3 linked regions of the Saccharomyces cerevisiae S288C genome follow. The main gene of each other region encodes a partner of the protein of the gene in region 3 in a complex. Each region holds a gene or a part of one and is shown on either strand. Other genes may lie near its edges. The genes, in order: UBP8, SPT20 and SGF73. A codon is read from its position in the direction of its gene.

Region 1 (3,564 bases), on a different chromosome or scaffold from region 3:
CAAGGACGCCAAAGACGGATATTCTTGGAAGTCTCCTTGCTAAGAAAAGAAAATAGTTGTACTTGATCCCTATATTATATTATATCCTATTTATAACCAAGGGCTTGCCTTCGCGAACAACAAGGTATGCCATTTTGAGAGGAGCAAATTTGCATTCTAAATTCATGATAATGATATGTTCTTTAATTATTACTATATATAAACTCACTTAGTTTTCCAGCCTTTGCTCTTTTGTTCGTATAGCAAGGAATGAAAAAAAAAAATCCTGAATAAACGTCATAGTAATTTTCTTCCTTAGTTAGATACAAAGGATTTTGAAATACAGTATATGCACAATCGCAACTCATTAAGAGCATAGGAAAGTATTCAATTTAAAGAAAAACATGATGGAAACGATGATATAGAAAAAAGAACGGAAGCAAGCGTTAACTGTGATAGGAATATGCATAGCTTTTTCTTCTTTTTTGTTTTATTATTATTGTTGAATGCTATTTGCTGAATCAATTTACTTGACGAATGGTGTAGAATAATAAATATGCCTGTTCCTTTAAAACCTCTTCTTGAGATATAGAGGAGACCATGGAATCATTGAATTTAAACCATTGCCCTCCAGAAATTTTACAAAATGCAATATAATGTCCCTCATTAACCGTCCCCTTGTGGGAAACAATACCGATTAATTCGTAAATAATGTCTGGAACCTTGCCATTTTCAGAATGCTTATCTTTTTCCTTCGTTGAACAGTAATTTTTCATATTTAAATAAGTTGGAAATTCAATAAAATCGTCTAGTTTTCTGTTACTTCCATTAAGTAGGTGTTCGAATCTTTTCAATTGCAAAACCAAAACCGATGGTAATTTGTGTATGCCTAGTTGCTTTATTGCATCTTGAGTGCTGTTACACTCCCCACAATGATAGTTGAAATCCTTCAACTGTTCTTTTTTATGGAAACTGTCAAGACATTCATAAAGTTTTTTCTTATCCTTGATATCCAGAGAAAGATCCAAGAATGGATCAATGGTTGTCTTTGAATTATTTTGACAGCCTGGACACACAATAGAACTTTCCAAGGAGCCCTCAAACACAGTATGCACTATGCATTCACACTGCTTATTATTTGCTCTGCTGACTTCCTTGGCATTTGGCAAATCAAGAACATAGCTTTGGTGGATTTGGTTAATTATAAACTGCCAAAATTCATGAGCATCTTGTTGTGAATACCCTGCTAGATTTTGATTGATTTTCCAGGCACAAGTTAAAAGATATATGAATCCGGTTTGCCGATTAGTAGATGTAGATGACGAAGAAGCTTGCTTTGTATTCAGCGCTCCATAAAGTTCATGAACAATTTTATCGAGTGCACATGAAAAACATTTATCTGGAGAACGCACTTTACAATTATTAGAATGAATTTGACTCATTGAGTGCCTAATAAAGTAAGGGTTATGGATTAGACATTGGAGAATACTACTCATGAAACAAGTGGATCCCATGTTGATCAGGCCAGAAAGCCCATCTCTTCTTTCCATGCTAGGAACCATGGTCTTTGTGCACACGTCGTCCCAATACTTCGCTAGGATAGCATCGTTAATCAGATCGATATTCCCTATATAGTCCTCACATTTGAAGCAAAATAAAAGGCCATTATTTGAGTTGATACCAAATATGTGACCAATCTGTTTACTGTGAGAGAGAAAATGCGAATGGTTCCAACATCCACAAAATCCACATTGTAGACACATGAAAGTTGCACCAGAGTTTATTTCGTGGCATGTACCACATTTCATGGTGTTTAAGAATTTTTCCTTGGGTACGGAATGATTTAATATATACCTGGCAGCATTGCACGTTTTTAGAACCCCATCTTTAGACTTTTCATTCTGAAATACTTGCTGTATATGTGGACAAATGCTCATAATTATTAATAACAAATAAAAAAAGCAGGGTTTCAAGTAGGACGACGAGGACCGAAGCTGTAGTTTTCCCTTTTGATCCGATCAATAAATAGTATTCAAAATTATGACAGCCAGTTGAAAGAAATGGACTAACTGGTCTCAAAAGAAAACCTTTATTATTATCCGTAAAATATCTTTTTAGAATTAATCAGGTCCACTAATATAATCCCTTTGCTATTACGACAGCTTTCTAGCCCATATACAATATAAATTATTGATGCTTTTTACACACTATAATCGAGGATTTTTTTTCACTTGAAAAATTCAAAGAAAAGCAAAAAAAGGAAGAATAGAGAAGAAAAAAAAGGTATAAGTGAAGAAAGAATGTGCAATACTACAAGACTATAAGATTTAATAGCTGTAACCATGACGAAGAATGTATTGATGTTACATGGGCTTGCGCAGTCAGGTGACTACTTTGCCTCTAAGACAAAGGGGTTTCGCGCCGAAATGGAAAAGTTAGGATATAAACTCTACTATCCAACAGCACCCAATGAATTTCCCCCAGCTGATGTTCCTGATTTCTTGGGTGAGGTAATTGCTGATGCACCTGGGGATGGTGAGAATACCGGTGTGCTTGCGTGGCTAGAGAATGACCCTTCCACCGGTGGCTATTTCATACCGCAGACGACAATCGACTATTTACACAATTATGTCCTTGAAAATGGTCCATTTGCAGGTATTGTAGGATTTAGTCAAGGAGCCGGTGTAGCTGGATACCTAGCAACGGATTTCAATGGTTTGTTGGGCCTTACAACAGAAGAACAGCCGCCGCTAGAATTTTTCATGGCGGTCAGTGGTTTCAGGTTCCAACCACAACAGTATCAAGAACAGTACGACCTGCATCCAATATCGGTCCCATCTCTACATGTTCAAGGAGAACTTGACACTATCACAGAGCCGGCCAAAGTGCAAGGCCTATATAACTCTTGTACGGAAGACTCTCGCACTTTACTAATGCACTCTGGGGGCCACTTTGTGCCGAACTCAAGAGGGTTTGTGAGAAAAGTGGCTCAATGGCTCCAGCAGTTGACCTGAGGCAAGTATATATAGCACGTAATCTTCACATAATCTTCACATACATATTTATACATGATTAAATCCTCCGGGTAATAATACGTCAAATTAACTTAACTACCGATACGATGCTTCATTATGATAACGATAACAATGGCATCTATAAATGATTTTATTCCTCGTTAGGCCAGTATTAGGGCAGTAAAGACTGTAATGACCAGTACAAGAACGTTGAGATACGCACAGGTTGCCTGTGCTTGTATCTGGTGTCTTTTTTCAGCTGGTATTATCTTTGGATTTGCTGCTTTGAAACCTATTTTAATTTCAGAAGGTGTATACCATGAATTGTGTGATCCTAAGGATGGTGATAGATTATTATGTACTGCACAGGATCTGAAATTAAATTTTATATTTGCTCTCAGTGCTACTGTAACAAACATCATGGCCCTTCCTGTCGGTAAGATTTTGGATATGTATGGACCTCGTGTCTGCGGAATAATAGGATCATGTCTCTTGTTCCTAGCAAGCGGTAATTTTATTTCTGCCAAGCATCTAGTGTCTCTTTGGGACCCATATCTTGTCGGTTACACGC
Region 2 (4,240 bases), on a different chromosome or scaffold from region 3:
ACAGGAATAGCAGTGGAAATGGGAACTCTTATAAAAGTAATGATTCGCTAACATATAATTGCGGCAAAACTTTAAGTGGAAAGGACATATACAATTATGGATTGATCATATTAAACCGAATTAATCCTGACAATTTTTCTATGGGCATTGTTCCCAATAGTGTCGTAAATAAAAGAAAAGTATTTAATGCAGAAGAGGATACACTTAACCCACTAGAGTGCATGGGGGTAGAGGTGAAAGATGAATTGGTCATTATTAAGAACTTGAAGCATGAGGTCTATGGTATATGGATTCATACAGTTAGTGATAGACAAAATATCTACGAACTAATAAAATATCTTCTGGAAAATGAGCCAAAAGATTCTTTTGCTTGAGCACAGAGGTGAGATGCCCAAGTGAGAATTTTTTTTAAATAATGATGTACTTTAATACAATATATATATATATATATATATATATATATATATATATATAAGGAATGATAACTCTATTTAAGTAGATTATGACATTGTAGTAGAAGAGGGCGTGCTACTTGCGCTCTGTTTCTTCTTAGTCATTCTTTTCTTTTTAGGAGCTGGTGTACCGCTCTCGCTTTTTTTTGCATTTTTTCTAGGTCGCTTAACCTTTGGTTTATCTAAATTATTATTATTATTATTATTGTTACTGGTGGCATTGTTACCACTCCGTTTATTTGCGTTTTTCATGGCTCCACCATTCTGTTGTTGCTCCAAGGCCTGCTGTTGTCTTTGAAGTAGCTGTTGCTGTGGAGTCAATGGTGCTGTCATCGATATTCTAGCGTTGAAGGGGGTTGGATTGATGTTTGCACTTAAAGCCTGCTGTTTTCTTTTTTCTTTATTTATTCTCCATTGTTCAATAAATTTCAGCCTGCTAAATTGATTATTATCGTTACCCATGGTAGATCCCACTGCAGCCGCAGCCGCTGCCGCTGCCAAAGCTACTTGATTGCCATTAGCCAAACTGTTATTCCTTGTATTTGATGCGGAATTCGAAGTTGAGGACGAAGCTCCACGTACCCCGTTGGAACTGGAGCTAGCAATCTCCATCGCATTCTTGGTTAACGAAACAGCAAACGTGGAGTTGGTTATCGTTGTTGTGCGTTCATTCATGATCAACATCAACTGTTCATAATTTGAACTATGTTGCGGAAATTCATCGCGTTCTTCGATATGCCCTACAACGCCCTTCGTGCCTTCTCTCGTAGACTCAGCACGATGTTCGTGAATGAAGGATTTTTTTTCACTATCCCAATGAGGTTCTGAAAAAGCTGTTTCCTCCAACATGTCTCGGTGCTCATATGGATTTAATGGCACACTTAGTGACAAGTTCCTCTTGGTAAGTGTTAAAATTTCAGATTCAAACTGTTGATAAATGCTATCAGAAAACCTGGCATTATCTGCATAAGACATCATGTCATAATACGTCGTCAAATCATTAGGCTTCAACAATGTTCGATATACTCTAGGTCGTTTGAAGGATGCCTTCTTATTTGCTGTGTTTGCGCCTGTATTTGCCACACCACTATTAGGTTCGGATGGTTGTTGAATCTTGGAATTGTCCTGTGTGCTATTATTATTTGAAGGGGAAGAAGAGCTGTTCAAATTAGGCTTGTTCTCTTTGGGGGTGACATCAACTGTATTAGTATGGTCATAAACCTGTAAAATAAGATTTCCTTCGTAAAATTGGATATTACAGTCCCTTAAGACTTCCATAATAGCATCAGGAATCCTTCCTCTTGCGACGTACTCTAAAAATTCTTTCAAAGTTTCGTTATTTTTGGTTAATATTAAACCGTCACTAGTCAGCTCGGGTTGCTTTTGCTGCTGTTGTAACCTGCTATTTGCAGGAGCGCAAATCTTATAATTATTCTCATAAATATGAAATTCAAAACTGTGTAAATATTGCTCATATTTTTTCAAAATTGAGTCTGCATCTTCCACAAAATTGTAAAGTCTTTTAGGTCTTTTGTTTAAGGTCATAAGCATTTGATAAAACTGAGCCTCATAGTTTTGGAGTGCTTGCTGTTTTCTCTGTTGTTCGAGTAGTCTTTGCTGTAGTAATAATCGTTGTCTTTGCTGCAATTGCTGTATTTGCTCCCTGGTTAAAGTCCTAGTACCTTCATTGGCATTACTATTACTGTTTGTCCTCATAACAGGATGATTTACATTTGCTACCGCTGGGTTCATAGGAGGTGGTACATTAACTGGACTGCCTGGCGAACCCATATTGGATGGTGTTGCGTTCACAGGAATACCAAATACATGGGGATCGTTTCCTGTCGGGCTATTGGCACTCATCCCTGAAATATATAGGCGCAAATTAACCGTAACTATTCCTTCCTAATCCTCTTGAAGGCTACTTTTCTCATTCTTTTATCTCTGCTGGTCGATCATCTTAACACTTCTTCATGATTAATGGTCGTCAGGTATCACGAGCGGGTAACAGAACTAAGCAGTTATAGCGATCCCAGTTTTACTTTAAAGATAGTTAGTTAGTTATTAATGGTGCGGATAACAAGAACTATTGTCACTCAGAATCTTATACAGGTATGGACATGGAACATTGGGTCATATACATAAGAAATAAATTATAAAGAAGGGTCGAATCAAACATAAGCGGAGAATAGCCAAATAAAAAAAAAAGATGAAAAGAAAGCTATGTAGCTTTCCACATGTCTTGCATACCAAGGATAGATGTGACAACACCGGATAGCGCAACATACTCTTCGTTGCTAGACAAGTACCCTAGGTTGTTGAGGACGATGAACGAATCTGCAGCATCCCAGAATAGTCTTCTTAACGCGGTGTACCTGTCTTGGTATGCCTTCCCTAGTACCTTCTTGTGATCCTCATGCTCATCGCCTTGGCTTTGTGATTTTGCCTTGACAAACGCAGCAATCTGGGCATGAGATGTTTGGATCTTACGAAGATCCATAGCCAGACCACTTAGGAGGCCGAACAGCCAACACCAATTGGACCAGCGAGGTATTTTCTTACCGGTAAGAACGGTTACAGGAATCACTTTCAAAATTCTCAAAAGATTGACTTGATCTAACGACAAATATGCAGCAAAGAAGATGTTTTTCAAAACATTGCAGACTCTAACGACGTTGTCGCTGGCCAACTTGTTATCGTAGAATTTAGCAGCTGCCTGCAAGTGGTTTAAAGGCTTCAGAAACCTCAGAAATTTTCTGACTGTGGTAAATTGAGCTTGTAATTGCCTGGCCAAGAGAGATGAGTTCTGTACTGCTAAAAATCTTGCTAAATACTGCAGTAATCTGAGAACCTTTTCTCTGCCAGCTGAGCCATCTAGAAATTTGACGAATCTCGTCACGGAGGGATGATATACCAGTGTATCACAGACCATATTGATTATACTATTACTTGATGAAGTCTTTGAAGTAGTAGATGGAGACAACGGTTTTTCAGTTGTTGGAGTCACTTCCCTTTTATATCTATAAATGATATACCCATCGCTTCGGGTTCTCCGAGATAAATGCCGACGCGTAGTGAAAATCGCAATGGAATTGATGCCAACTTTGTTCTTGGTATTATATTTTTACAATAGAAGGGCAAGCATAGAAAGGATGGGTTACTATGACATTGATGATGTCCTAGCAGATGGGACAGAGTTTCCTTGTAAATTTCAATATGATATTCCTGGTCTTGGTTATTTGGAAAACAACCCAGGACGACCCATAACGAAAAACACTAAACTAAGCCTGCCACTATGGTTAGCAAGAATCCTTGCAATTGTGGGTGGTGACGAAGCCTTGGTAGATGAAGAACCTGTACCTTTTGTGGAACTCCTGCCACCAGATATGTTTTCTACGAAAGTTATGAACGCTATAAAGACCGATCCGGTGGCTCTGGACTTGCATTCCATAAATTCGCATTTCTTCAGTCTAGCCATAAAATGGATAATGTTGTTTAGCGAAAAAGAACTGGCCAATGTCGTTAGTGAGCTACTTTTGCAACGTGCCCAAGAACTTAATCATCATGCTAGTAGTTTATCGATTGATCTCAATGCAGACTCGACCGGAAAAAATTCAGCGAACACTAATATAGCAACTAGCACATTTTTACTGAAACTAGAAGAAATGGAGAAGGAGATATATAAAAAGTCTCATGAATCTTATAAGGACACGAAAAGGTGGATGTTTAAAAAATAACACATCTTTTTCTTTAGAAATACACTATATAAAATAACTATAAAAAAAAGG
Region 3 (5,767 bases):
TCCGCTTCTGCATATCTTTAGTTCTGCCACTTTGATGTTTTATTGTCATTTCCCCGACCAATTATTGGCTCAAAGAGCTGGGCTATTGAAGAAAATATACAGACTACCATTTGACTTAATAGAACAGTTTTCCGTGAGTGCTGCCGATACTGTTGTGGTAAATTCAAATTTCACTAAGAATACGTTCCACCAAACGTTCAAGTATTTATCCAATGATCCAGACGTCATTTATCCATGCGTGGATTTATCAACAATCGAAATTGAAGATATTGACAAGAAATTTTTCAAAACAGTGTTTAACGAAGGCGATAGATTTTACCTAAGTATAAATCGTTTTGAGAAAAAAAAGGATGTTGCGCTGGCTATAAAGGCTTTTGCGTTATCTGAAGATCAAATCAATGACAACGTTAAGTTAGTTATTTGCGGTGGTTATGACGAGAGGGTTGCAGAAAATGTGGAGTACTTGAAGGAACTACAGTCTCTGGCCGATGAATACGAATTATCCCATACAACCATATACTACCAAGAAATAAAGCGCGTCTCCGATTTAGAGTCATTCAAAACCAATAATAGTAAAATTATATTTTTAACTTCCATTTCATCATCTCTGAAAGAATTACTGCTCGAAAGAACCGAAATGTTATTGTATACACCAGCATATGAGCACTTTGGTATTGTTCCTTTAGAAGCCATGAAATTAGGTAAGCCTGTACTAGCAGTAAACAATGGAGGTCCTTTGGAGACTATCAAATCTTACGTTGCTGGTGAAAATGAAAGTTCTGCCACTGGGTGGCTAAAACCTGCCGTCCCTATTCAATGGGCTACTGCAATTGATGAAAGCAGAAAGATCTTGCAGAACGGTTCTGTGAACTTTGAGAGGAATGGCCCGCTAAGAGTCAAGAAATACTTTTCTAGGGAAGCAATGACTCAGTCATTTGAAGAAAACGTCGAGAAAGTCATATGGAAAGAAAAAAAGTATTATCCTTGGGAAATATTCGGTATTTCATTCTCTAATTTTATTTTGCATATGGCATTTATAAAAATTCTACCCAATAATCCATGGCCCTTCCTATTTATGGCCACTTTTATGGTATTATATTTTAAGAACTACTTATGGGGAATTTACTGGGCATTTGTATTCGCTCTCTCCTACCCTTATGAAGAAATATAATGTCTACTTAAATAAATAATGTATACCCCCCGAAGAAAAAATAATTTACATTGGAGAAGAAATCTCTAAATGCAAATAGCGTAACTTGTCCACAAACATAGACGTGTACATGTTACTTCGGCGAATAATTTTTTATTACTCACTTCGTGAACATGCTGGATAACGTGCATGATTCAATTAATTTATTCTGCCATTGTAGGGGTTCACAGAATTTCCAATACCTACTTCAATTCTCCCGTTATTGCCAGAGACATTAATACCGGTAGATACACCTTGCCCGGAGCCATTGACGCTGTTGACACTAGGGGGAGATTGGATACTATTTACGCTAGTATTGGGAGAGCTTATGGAGGCTTTCATCGTCATGAGGTTATTGTTACCGTTTTTACTACTATTATTGTTGTGGGTGCCAGATAAATGGCTATCTTGATTTGATTCTTGCATTAATTTGGTAGCGTTGGCTAAATATGAAGCAGCAGCTTCAAACTTCTGTTGTTGTAGTTGTTGTTGTCGTAGTTTTTGTTGTTGTGATTGTATCTCCAGCGGCGTGAGACCTGTGTCTTGAGACTTGTGCTGCTGCTGCTGCTGCTGCTGCTGAATTTGCTTGCTCGACACATTGGCATTAAATGATGAATTCGTTGCCCCGCCGGGGAAATGATTGGGCACCATACCTTGAGTAGGTTGTTGGGTACTGGCCTGGGCCTGCGCTTGGGGTGAGTGATGTTGCTGCTGCTGTTGCTGCTGTTGCTGTTGTTGAGAAAGAAGCTGAGCCTGTAGAGCTCTCTGTTGTTGTAGTCTTTGTATTTGTTTCGGATTGAGGTTTTGGTTTGTGAGGTGATTAATTGGCTGTGGAGTCCTAACACGAAATTTGTAATCTGTTGTTCTATCCAAATCCAAGCATCCTACACGAGAATGGATCGCACCGTAACCTGGAGATGTATATCCTGGTTTCACAGAAAAGGAGGAAGCAAACATTTCCCTCATTCTAAAATATTTAGTCCTGTATCTAACTGACGATAGTACCGTTGACTCTAGTGGCAGTGGGAAAGATCGGGATACCCCATTTAGAACCTGTGTTGTTTCCTCTTCAGGAGTTAGGTTAACGTGTCCTATCTCATTGATATTGTTACCATTGTGTACAGTACTCTTACCACCATTTTTGGCTGATTTCCCACCATTCACATTTCTTTGCTTAGACCTTTGACCTTGTTTCTGTTGCTGAGTATGTTTTTTCTGCTCTTTTTGTATCTGCTTTTGTAATTTTTGTAATTCTTGTTGCTTAGCACGTTTCTCAGCAGCTGCACCAATTTTTGTTTGATGTTCTCTATGATAATCTGCTAGCAAGACGTCGTAGGGCTTGGAACGACCAGAGACAGCCCTCTTTGCACCCATTGAATGGGACTTACATGTCAGCGAACGTGCACAGTAACCACCTTCCGGCAACTCTACACCACACTGTTTGTTGAAATCAATTAAATGCTTTTCAGTTGGGTTTCTTTGTTTGACTTTCTTTTGTTTTTTTATGGAAGAGCTGAAGGTTTGAGGAGTCCCAGTTTTCGATCTTTTCGTGTCCATATTTGGTGTGTTCGCAGATTCCATAGATGTGGATCTTTTCAAAGGGTTAAAAGAAGAGTCATTCTTCTTGTAATTGGCACCATTGGAATTATCGTCGTCATCATCAGCGTCATCATCATCTTCGTTGTCGTCGTTATCGTCATCATCATCATCATCATTGTTATTATCATTGCTATTGTCATCGTCGTTATTATTTCTCCCAGTTGATTCTACTCCATTTCGTATCGTTTCCCTAGTACTCTCATCTCTTGGATCTGTGCTACTTTTTCCAGATGCTCCCGCACAATGGTTTTCTAAGTGGTCTACAATTGCTGTCAAAGCTAAGGGTTTCCCACATTTTTCGCACACTCTATACTGAATCGGTTTATCCAAAGGATCTTCAATGAGTTGTGCATTCGGATTGAAGTATTTTTTTAGACTTTCGCGATTCATGTGATCATACTGCAAAGGAGTGTCCTTCGCGGACGACATTAAACTTTTCCATGAATCGTTGGAAGGACCACTTCCCTGAGATAAAGAATATTCCTCAATAACTTTGGGCTTAATTCCTTTAATCTCTGCATCGCCTGACCTCATTTTAGCTCTTTACTCTTTTGCGCTTCTCTTGTGTGTTCACTATTCTTATTTTTTTGGTTTATTCCGTTTTGGTAAATTAATCTCTAATGAGCGATGCTGGATATCAAAAAGGTTCTAAATAGTAATTTAGAAATTATTTTACAGCTATGAACAACTATATACGCTCTTCAGCTCCACTTTCTTCTGTTCGTAATGATTTTTGTTTCAAAATTGCTTGTACCAGCAATCTAACATCCTATATTCATTCATTTAGCATTTGCATTATGACGCACCTCTGTTTTCTTCGGGTAACTGAGTGAAAAATATCCATATGCTGAAGCACGCCTATTTATCAATGTTTATTATATTAAAAACTATAGATGGCTCGATGAGGTCTTACGTAAGTTTTTATAGTTCTCGCAAACATGATTGATTAATTGGAAGGCAATGGTAGTACTTCCAGGTAAATTGATATCATTTTTGAATGGAACACGATACCCGCCGGCGTACTTATCCAAAGCTTGAATGATTTCAGTTGTATCAAACCATTGAGCATCCAATAATTCGTCGTCATGATTCAGGTTGATAACCTCATTTTTGGAATTGAATTGAACTATGCCTAAACAGCCAATCATCAAACTGCAAGGGTAAGGCCAGGGCTGTGACCGGACTATATCAATATTTTTGCATGAAATGCCTGTTTCCTCCCATATTTCTCTGATACAAGCCTCCTCTATGGTTTCTGATGGCTCCATAAAACCTGCTATTGTTGAATACAATACAAAATCACCGTACCTTTTTTTTGATCTTGCCAGACAACACTTAGAGTAATCCGAATTGGTCAAGGCTATAATGACCGTTGGATCAGTTCTTGGGAAGCAAACGTTATTAATTCTTGCATCTCTCACATTACAGTATACATTCCGATTTTCATTAGAACACTGAAGCTTAGTTCCTGCCTCTACTGGGAATAACGGAGACCCACAACCGGGACAGAATTTGTACTTTGCTAGCCAATCCAGATACATCTTACCTTGTGAATAAAGTGAAGCATCCTCATTTGTTTGTTTGAAAATGTGATCTCTGGTCACCTTCGGATAGGAAAAAATAGGCTCAAAGTCGACTTTCTTGAAGAGTGTGCTCTCAGTAACACGGATATCTAATCCAAAATATGGTGTTCCTTTGTAAGAAATATTAGACCATTCAAAATTAAATGCAGAATCTGTGCCTTCCAGGAGACCTAAAAATGTTACATTGATGCCTGATTCATCGCTTCTTGAGCGAGTTGTGTTCAATAAAGTAGTGTATAAAGGAACTATTGCTGACAAAATATTCTTGTAAGACTTTACAGAATTAGAAAGCTGAACTAGGTCACCATTTTCGGGCGAAATGAGGGCTTCCCCTTCGATAAATGGGATAAAAACGGTAGAGTCATGGTTCAATGATTTTTTGATGAACTCTTTCGAACATCTTAAGAACGAAACTCTGTTCAAGACATGCTGGCCAAAAAAAGTCACAGCAGTGGACATTCTCTCAACTAACCGTAGCGTAATCAAAAAAAAATCAGGAGCAAAAAGGTACAATCTTTATCTTCTCTTTCGTTTCGCTCCTGCTCTTGTTCTTTATTCTTATGGTTGGTGGGCTTTATATTTCGAAGAAAAGCAACCGCTTTTGTAAGTTGGAAAAGTAGATTTATGAAGTGATAGATTAGCCCGTCTGAAATACTTATAACACGAAAACGAATGCCATAATGAAGTTGAAGATACTATAGAAAATAATAAGGAAATCAATCATTTTTATACATCTACTTGCAAGAAGCGATGTGGCAAAATATATAAAAGGCAGGACGAAAGAAGAATAAAGAGTTAAACATATTTACATGATATATTCCTTATTTTCTCGAAGAGAAAACAGACTATTTTGATTAACACGATTGGTAGATTGCTACAGTTTTAAAATCATTCTAAACTGACCTTAGCTCCTAAGTCTTCCAAGGTTTTCTTAATCTTTTCAGCATCATCCTTGGCGACATTTTCTTTCAAGACCTTTGGTGCAGCTTCAACGAATTTCTTAGCTTCAACTAATGAAAGCCCCAATAATCCCTTGACTTCCTTGATGACTTTAGCCTTAGTCTTCGTGTCGAACGAGTCCAACTTCACCGTAAACACGGTCTTTGCCTCAGGCTTAGCTTCTTCTTCAGCACCACTACCAGCTTCACCAGTGGAGCTAGGTACATTACCAGCACCTGCGCCTGCAGCGCCTGCCATGAATCCGCCCATAGGCATGGAAATTTCTGGAATGTTCAATACGGTTTTCAGCTCGTTGATTAAACTGGAAGTTTCCAAAAGAGTCAATTGTGAAATGTCCTGTACAATTTTAGAAATTTTAGGATCAACTGGCCTTACATCATCCTTATGTGATGGTGCTGTTGTAGTCGTAGAATTGAAACGGGTTGTGATAGTAATA

What was found.
Region 1: the proteins of SGF73 (region 3) and UBP8 are in contact, whole or in part, in a crystal structure (PDB 3MHH), measured with the Saccharomyces cerevisiae proteins. Residues at the interface, in NP_011449.1 of Saccharomyces cerevisiae: Gly24 (codon at 3,253), Ser25 (codon at 3,250), Gly26 (codon at 3,247), Pro27 (codon at 3,244), Ser28 (codon at 3,241), Asp30 (codon at 3,235), Ser31 (codon at 3,232), Trp32 (codon at 3,229), Lys33 (codon at 3,226), Leu35 (codon at 3,220), Met36 (codon at 3,217), Ser38 (codon at 3,211), Ala39 (codon at 3,208), Lys40 (codon at 3,205), Thr42 (codon at 3,199), Pro43 (codon at 3,196), Leu44 (codon at 3,193), Gln45 (codon at 3,190), Asp47 (codon at 3,184), His48 (codon at 3,181), Met49 (codon at 3,178), Asn50 (codon at 3,175), Ser53 (codon at 3,166), Leu54 (codon at 3,163), Lys55 (codon at 3,160), Lys56 (codon at 3,157), Tyr57 (codon at 3,154), Phe58 (codon at 3,151), Asn59 (codon at 3,148), Asn61 (codon at 3,142); in NP_013950.1 of Saccharomyces cerevisiae: Thr23 (codon at 1,850), Ala26 (codon at 1,841), Ala27 (codon at 1,838), Tyr29 (codon at 1,832), Ile30 (codon at 1,829), Asn32 (codon at 1,823), His33 (codon at 1,820), Ser34 (codon at 1,817), Val35 (codon at 1,814), Pro36 (codon at 1,811), Glu38 (codon at 1,805), Lys39 (codon at 1,802), Asn42 (codon at 1,793), Thr43 (codon at 1,790), Gly47 (codon at 1,778), Thr48 (codon at 1,775), His50 (codon at 1,769), Met59 (codon at 1,742), Cys60 (codon at 1,739), Leu61 (codon at 1,736), Gln62 (codon at 1,733), Cys63 (codon at 1,730), Gly64 (codon at 1,727), Phe65 (codon at 1,724), Cys66 (codon at 1,721), Asp107 (codon at 1,598), Asn110 (codon at 1,589), Asp111 (codon at 1,586), Leu114 (codon at 1,577), Tyr117 (codon at 1,568).
Region 2: the proteins of SGF73 (region 3) and SPT20 are in contact, whole or in part, in a cryo-EM structure (PDB 6T9K), measured with the Saccharomyces cerevisiae proteins. Residues at the interface, in NP_011449.1 of Saccharomyces cerevisiae: Lys386 (codon at 2,167), Tyr387 (codon at 2,164), Arg389 (codon at 2,158), Met390 (codon at 2,155), Arg391 (codon at 2,152), Met393 (codon at 2,146), Phe394 (codon at 2,143), Ala395 (codon at 2,140), Ser396 (codon at 2,137), Ser397 (codon at 2,134), Phe398 (codon at 2,131), Ser399 (codon at 2,128), Val400 (codon at 2,125), Lys401 (codon at 2,122), Arg415 (codon at 2,080), Lys428 (codon at 2,041), Val431 (codon at 2,032), Pro434 (codon at 2,023); in NP_014493.1 of Saccharomyces cerevisiae: Phe137 (codon at 1,907), Ile148 (codon at 1,874), Cys149 (codon at 1,871), Ala150 (codon at 1,868), Gly169 (codon at 1,811), Leu170 (codon at 1,808), Ile171 (codon at 1,805), Thr173 (codon at 1,799), Asn176 (codon at 1,790), Thr178 (codon at 1,784), Leu179 (codon at 1,781), Glu181 (codon at 1,775), Phe182 (codon at 1,772), Pro192 (codon at 1,742), Ala194 (codon at 1,736), Ile195 (codon at 1,733), Glu197 (codon at 1,727), Val198 (codon at 1,724), Arg200 (codon at 1,718), Asp201 (codon at 1,715), Cys202 (codon at 1,712), Asn203 (codon at 1,709), Ile204 (codon at 1,706), Tyr294 (codon at 1,436), Ser298 (codon at 1,424), Asp301 (codon at 1,415), Arg304 (codon at 1,406).

The regions. Positions count from the first base shown.
Region 1 is NC_001145.3:715,067-718,630, reverse strand, and holds UBP8 (ubiquitin-specific protease UBP8), read right to left. Parts: upstream 1,917-3,564; coding exon 501-1,916; downstream 1-500. Other genes in the region: MRE11 (MRX complex nuclease subunit), read left to right, coding at 1-56; FSH2 (putative serine hydrolase), read left to right, coding at 2,322-2,993; FMP42 (Fmp42p), read left to right, coding at 3,186-3,564. UniProt on the Saccharomyces cerevisiae protein: Histone deubiquitinating enzyme component of the transcription coactivator SAGA complex. SAGA acts as a general cofactor required for essentially all RNA polymerase II transcription.
Region 2 is NC_001147.6:45,260-49,499, forward strand, and holds SPT20 (Spt20p), read right to left. Parts: upstream 2,316-4,240; coding exon 501-2,315; downstream 1-500. Other genes in the region: DCP1 (Dcp1p), read left to right, coding at 1-374; PEX11 (Pex11p), read right to left, coding at 2,674-3,384; DNA replication protein PSF3, read left to right, coding at 3,605-4,189. UniProt on the Saccharomyces cerevisiae protein: Component of the transcription coactivator SAGA complex. SAGA acts as a general cofactor required for essentially all RNA polymerase II transcription. At the promoters, SAGA is required for transcription pre-initiation complex (PIC) recruitment.
Region 3 is NC_001139.9:375,164-380,930, reverse strand, and holds SGF73 (deubiquitination module subunit SGF73), read right to left. Parts: upstream 3,323-5,767; coding exon 1,349-3,322; downstream 1-1,348. Other genes in the region: ALG2 (GDP-Man:Man(1)GlcNAc(2)-PP-dolichol alpha-1,3-mannosyltransferase), read left to right, coding at 1-1,171; NPY1 (NAD(+) diphosphatase), read right to left, coding at 3,676-4,830; mitochondrial 54S ribosomal protein bL12m MNP1, read right to left, coding at 5,260-5,767. UniProt on the Saccharomyces cerevisiae protein: Component of the transcription coactivator SAGA complex. SAGA acts as a general cofactor required for essentially all RNA polymerase II transcription. At the promoters, SAGA is required for transcription pre-initiation complex (PIC) recruitment.